Linked DNA regions of Saccharomyces cerevisiae S288C. The protein of the gene in region 2 binds, or shares a complex with, the protein of the main gene of each other region. Each region holds a gene or a part of one and is shown on either strand. Other genes may lie near its edges.

Evidence for each region. Proteins that work in one complex are often made in the same cells at the same time.
Region 1: EAF1 (region 2) and EAF6 share a complex: the UniProt entries of both Saccharomyces cerevisiae proteins name them as parts of the nuA4 histone acetyltransferase complex.

What each region holds. Positions count from the first base shown.
Region 1 is NC_001142.9:581,345-584,434, reverse strand, and holds EAF6 (Eaf6p), read left to right. Parts: upstream 1-2,179; coding exon 2,180-2,521; downstream 2,522-3,090. Other genes in the region: YJR084W (uncharacterized protein), read right to left, coding at 1-702; ACF4 (Acf4p), read left to right, coding at 898-1,827; AIM24 (Aim24p), read left to right, coding at 2,819-3,090. UniProt on the Saccharomyces cerevisiae protein: Component of the NuA4 histone acetyltransferase complex which is involved in transcriptional activation of selected genes principally by acetylation of nucleosomal histone H4 and H2A. The NuA4 complex is also involved in DNA repair.
Region 2 is NC_001136.10:1,193,165-1,196,764, reverse strand, and holds the start of EAF1 (Eaf1p), read left to right. Parts: upstream 1-1,880; coding exon 1,881-3,600. Other genes in the region: transcription factor TFIIIC subunit TFC6, read left to right, coding at 1-86; protein-transporting protein BCP1, read left to right, coding at 502-1,353. UniProt on the Saccharomyces cerevisiae protein: Component of the NuA4 histone acetyltransferase complex which is involved in transcriptional activation of selected genes principally by acetylation of nucleosomal histone H4 and H2A. The NuA4 complex is also involved in DNA repair.

The sequences.
Region 1 (3,090 bases), on a different chromosome or scaffold from region 2:
GAAGAACCCGCGTTCGTGATCGTTTTCCAGACATCCGTAGTATTGACCTAGATAATAATTATACAACACCACTTGAGACTTATGTTCCATTGCCAGGCTTTTATTCAACGGTGGTATATCCCGGGCGTTCACTCTGCTCTCGAGGACTTTCACTAAATTTTTAATCATATCTTTATTACTTAACCGATGGTAGATGGAAAACTCTAGATTAGCAAACATATAACACCCGATTTTTTTATTTTCATTCAATCTTGGGTTCCTATCATTGAGGCATATAGTAAAGCTTCTATGGATAGTGCGTCCACATTCCTCAATTGAGTCTTTATTAAGTTCACTAGATTCGTTTGCCAGACGAATTAATTGTTTAGCCATTACCCACAGCGGATAAATTATCCAATTGGTTTCTCTTTCTACTATTCTGTTGAAAAGTTTCAACTGTTCATTGGCTAATCGCAGCAATTCCTCAGTAGCATTCTTGATCCGCCCTTGCTTCTTCAATGACCTCCGCTTGGAATACTTCAATTTTAGATCTACTCCTAATTGGTAAAACCTTTGTAATCGTACACTCTCTTCATCTGTCGCCGTAGGCCTTTGTAGTATATATTTAGTCTTTTTAGGTGTTTTAACGTCATATCTGATGAAGTCTAACAGTTTGTCGTCATAGCGTTTCTCTTCAAAATAACATCCTATATCAACATCCATGATTGGTTGTAGAAACCGTTGCTGGACCTTTCTGTTCCTGTGTAACTCTCTCCAGACATTCCTTTACATACAATTTTCTTTTTTTTTCCTGACCTTTATCGTTAGCTTTTTCAAAATCAAAAACAATACGATTGAGGAATACTACTAACTAGCCAAAAGCAATACAAAATACATCCATACATACGCCCTAAAGTAATGTCAGAAGACCAGCGTGTAATTAGTCAACCAATTGAATTACATAAGCTGTCGATTGTCGATAAACACTCCCAAGGACAGCAGCAACAGCCGCATCAAAAACAACATGAAGTGCAGCCTGAATCAAAATCACCAAGGGTTACGACACCTTTAAAGCCCAAAAGACTTGCTATACCTATATCAAGTCCGCAAAGATCTACGACAAATCAGTCACCCGTGAGCGACCACGCAAGTCCGATTTCAACAGACCAAGATTTAATATATAAATTAGCTGCAAAACACAGAGAAATCAATGAACTTAGTTTCAAATTAGAGGTCGCCCAAAAAGAATTAAAACAATTAGAGTTACAGTTCAAAGATACACTGCCCCGAAATGGACAACAGAAATTAGGTAACCAGAACCCAAGTGAATACCTCTCTACTTTTACCAAAAGAATTCAACAGACATTTGTGGACGTAAATAATTCACCAAATATGCTCAAGGGAAAAAAGAGTATAAACGATTTTTTTAGTAAGCCCAATAATAATGTTAATAGCAACATAAATAACACTCTACCCAATCGTAAACCGAACCCTCCGCCTAATCGGTCACAACGTATGCAAAATATTGCTCCAAGCCGTAGTTCAGAATCAACTCCAACATCGGGTCCTCCCTTGCTACCCCCAAGGAATACTATGAAGAATGCTAATACCACGGCAACTGCTGGGGAGAACACACCATTCTTACAAAGAATACTTAACAAATTCAATCAAATGAATATGGAAGAGGACGAATTCGATGACCTTTTGGAAAAGAGGAAAAGTAAGAAAGATCACTATTACATAAAAGAAAATTTGGGTTACGAATACGATGAAGTACGCAGTGAAGACGAGGATGATGAAGAGTTTGAACCCATGGGTGACATACCCGTTCATTTATTTAAAAGGTAGCTAATGTCCACTATTGATGCTTTCTCAAGAGACCTTCATATGTAATATTCTCATTAAATACAAAGATTAAACGGCTTCATTTATGCATTCCTTTATTTAGGTAAATTTTTTTTGCCCGATTTTTGGTACTACTGCTTTCCTTTTTTAAATGTAATTGATATTTTTAAAAAAACCTCACATGTAGGCGATTAACCCAGGTCCTTCAACAACTTGCCGACTATGCCATTAAATTAATGATTAAAGGTGTGTAAAGCCACAACGAAAGCAAAGAATATACGTAAGATAAACATCTTTAGAGAACAGCCATTTTCCATCATCTTTCCGTTTGTTACCAACCTACGCCTAGAAGAAAATGACTGATGAGCTGAAAAGTTATGAAGCATTGAAAGCGGAACTAAAAAAGTCCCTCCAAGATAGAAGAGAGCAAGAAGATACCTTTGACAACTTACAACAAGAGATATATGATAAAGAGACCGAGTATTTCTCACACAATAGTAATAACAACCATTCAGGTCATGGGGGAGCCCATGGGTCAAAATCACACTATTCTGGTAACATCATAAAAGGGTTTGATACCTTCTCCAAGTCACACCACAGCCATGCAGATTCTGCATTCAATAACAATGATCGTATTTTTTCATTAAGTAGTGCTACGTACGTGAAGCAGCAGCATGGCCAATCACAAAACGACTAATGCGATAGCACACGTTGGTATTTACGTTGCTTGACCGCTCTAAAACATCTGATTGAAAAGAAAAAGAGAGAAGAAGGAAATGATTTCGACAGGTGACCTTTAAGTTCGATATACCTACATATTGGCTATTTCTTTTATTTTTCATTTTCTATAAAATATCTATATAAGTATTTTTATAACGATTTACTAACAAGGGCAAAATTTCAAAGGTCCCGTGCTCCCAGTCATTTTATTGGCTGGCGAATAAACGGATACAGATAAACAAAACAGAAGCACAGAAAAGGATATCCACCCATCATGATAAGCCCAAGGGTGAATACTCGAGTTTGGCAGAGATCAATTTCTCTTTTGAGCCCACAAGCGGCCAAGACGGAGAGTAATGTCGTAACTAAAGAAAGGACATATATCGAGAACTTAAGCAAGGATATTGCGACTTCCCGTTTCAGGCTAGTAGACGAAAATGGTAAAATTGCATCTATCACTGTTCAACCAGATATTCCAATTTGTATCAAAAAGGATTGCCTAGTTTCCATTCACAATTTGAACCATTTATCCCTTTCCTATAAATG
Region 2 (3,600 bases):
CAAAATGGAATGAAACGAGCGCTGGAGGCAAATGTTATGCATTTTCTAATAGTGCTGGACTATTAACACTCGAATACCTGTCATGAGATGGACTTTACGTAATAAATACAATTTGTGACATTGAACTATTGTTGACGAAAAAAACTATCTTTTTTTATTGAAATGAAAAAGGAATAAAATAGCCTAATGTAAAATATCGCCTGGCTAGCACTAATAACTTTGAGTATTGTTGCAGTTATTCCTGCCGCAAATTATGTATTAAAATTTATACAGATATTGTGCCATAACTTCAGTTAAGGGTAAATTATCAAATTCTCGATATCCGTGGTCACTTTATACGAGTTTCTCTTTCCGTGCCTATATTCCTCGCGATGAGATTGAGGTAGAAAAAATATCTGAAAAAGAGTTGTCAATATATTATCTATTATGTCCTTATAATTTTATCATTTAGATTGTTCATGAGGCCCACATTTTCATAGGATTGCTAATTAACTCACAAATATGGTTCAAGCTATCAAATTAAATGATTTAAAAAATAGGAAGAGAAAAAATGTGGAGGAAGAAAATGGCAGTGACGAGTCTGAAATTGACATTAGTAGCACCGATTCAGAAAATGAAGAAGAGCAAAATGGAGAAGAAGAGATCGTAAATATTGACTTCGATTTTTTCGGTGGTAACCCAGAAGTTGATTTTCATGCTTTAAAGAATTTACTGCGTCAGTTATTTGGTCCTCAAGAAAGTACCAGGATTCAACTAAGCAGCTTGGCAGATTTGATCCTAGGTTCCCCAACCACCACAATTAAAACAGACGGCAAAGAATCTGATCCATACTGTTTTCTTTCATTCGTTGATTTCAAAGCTAATCATCTAAGTGATTATGTCAAATATTTACAAAAAGTGGACATGAGACTTTCCACTTTCTTCAAAACTATGATTGATAGTGGTAATAAAAATTGTGCTTTGGTTCTCAGTGAAAGGCTGATTAATATGCCACCGGAAGTCGTTCCACCTTTATACAAGATTACGTTGGAGGATGTTGCCACGGCACTTGGCGATGACAAACATTATGACTTCTATATCATCGTCACCAGGAAGTATGAAGTAAATTTTGACACTGACGATGATACCGACTCTGGTAAGAGGAATAAAAACAAAGACGAAAGATCCAAAAAAAGGGTGAAGGCCGATGAAGTAGACTACTTTCATGAGGAGGACCGATTTTTTGAAAAATATGCCAAGATTCACTTCGAATCAGAAGCTAAAAAGGGTGTTATCAGCTCATACATGATTCTTGATCACGAAGGCCTTGTCAAAAGTATCGATGAATTGGAAACAGAAATTTCCACTTGGTAATTTTACGAAAAGTAAATAGTTGCGATCACTGCCCTGCACAGTTAGTGCAATTTGTATATTATTAACAGACGAAGCAGCAGCGGCCATTGAGCCTTTATGTCATCCTACACGGATAATTTTGGGCTGCCGAGGACAGTAAAAATTAATCCGCCACCGCTGAAAATTTTTCTGGGCGATCATCTTTTTAATGTCGTGTGCTCCAATAAAAATACATAGTATATATTGTGCAAAGTGAAATCAGATTGTAATTCAAGAAAGGTCATTCACCCTGAGCCTTATAGAACATAGTCAGCATATAAGTGTTGAGCATTTTGAGCCGGGGCATACAGGTATTTGCGGCGTAACTACAAAATTTCTGGTTCTTCCCCCTTTCGAACCGTTAGAAGGGATAAGGATTTTTGCGTACTTGCTGCAGCCGCGAAATTTTCAAAGGCCGGCTATTACCCGTAGGCGTTAGCCGCCGAACAGATAGAATATAAAGATTATTTAGAGACATCATAATCAAAAGTACAGTTTCCGCCTCAAAGATGTCCTCACGTCCAAGTTCAGCAGTGCCTAATTCAGCATCACTCAGTGAGGACCAGAGCAGTGATAGAAGTAAATTTCCTAAGGCAGATGACTTAATTGATGAAAGAGATAGAAAACTGACCGAACTATACTGCGTATCCCGCTTGAACCAGCTGCTAGAGTTAACAGATGAAAACAAACTTCGGAAGGAAATAGATGCATTTTTAAAGAAAAACGATATACGAAGGGGTATAAGGTTTGACGAGGCGTCACTGCCGAAGCTCCTACATACAGCTGCGACTCCCATAACAAAAAAGAAATTGAAGGATGTAAATTTAATAAATGTACCTAACCAGAGGCTATCCGATTCTAAAATGAGTAGGGAACTGCCAGAAAATAGCGAAAATGTATCAGTCAAATCAGAGAGTCATTTTGTTCCAAGCCACGATAATTCAATCCGTGAAAATATGATGGATTCTTTGAGGCCAGCTGAAAAGACAGGAGGTATGTGGAACAAAAGGCCACTTGAGTCAACTATGGGAGGTGAAGAAGAGCGACATGAAAAAAGACAGAAGATGCAATCTCAGTCATTGGAATCTTCTAATAATTCGGAAATGGCTTCATTACCTATTTCGCCGCGTCCCCCAGTGCCTAATGCATTAGCACACTACACTTATTATGAGAACATCGAGTACCCACCAGCAGATCCCACTGAGGTGCAACCTGCAGTAAAATTCAAGGATCCGTTGATAAAGAACATTATGGCGAAAGAGATAGATACATCAGACCATTATAACGAGAACAATGTTGACGCATTAGAGACCGTATTTTTATTAATGAACGATTATATACCATCGAAAATACCCCAGGCTTTGCCCTTAGCAGAATTGAAGTACATGTCACAAACTCTGCCTCTTATTAATCTAATACCGAGAGCTCACAAGGCTTTGACCACTAATATTATAAACAACGCCTTAAACGAGGCCAGAATTACTGTTGTTGGCTCGCGAATAGAAGAACTAAGAAGACTTGGATTATGGTCTTTAAGACAACCTAAAAGATTCATCGATCCGTGGAAACAACACAATACGCATCAAAACATACTTTTAGAAGAAGCTAAATGGATGCAAGCAGATTTTAAAGAGGGCCACAAATATAAAGTAGCTATCTGCACAGCAATGGCACAGGCAATCAAGGACTACTGGACCTATGGGGAAATATGCTGTGTAAAACGTAAAACACTTCTACCTGGTAAGGAAAATAAATTATCTGACGACGGGCGCATATCTGAAAAGTCCGGTAGACCATCGGATACTTCAAGAAATGATTCCGATATTAGCATAGCCGGTAAGGATGACATTGGAATTATTGCGAACGTTGACGATATTACTGAAAAAGAAAGTGCTGCTGCTAACGATAATGATGAGAATGGAAAGAATGAAGCAGGAGCTAAGAGTGATTTTGATTTTGCAGATGGTTTGTTATCTCAAGAAGGTGCCCACGATCAAATTATATCTTCTATTGACACCAAGTTACTTCTAAAAAAGCCATCCTCCTCAAGCGAAGTTGTTTTAATACAACATGAAGTAGCTGCATCATCAGCGTTGATCGAAACCGAAGAATCAAAGAAAGAGCTAGCCCCCCCATTTAAACTTTCAATCTTTGTTGACGAACTCAATACTTTTGAAAAAACATTAATACAGGATTTACCGCTGTATAATGGTATTAATGAAGAACGGC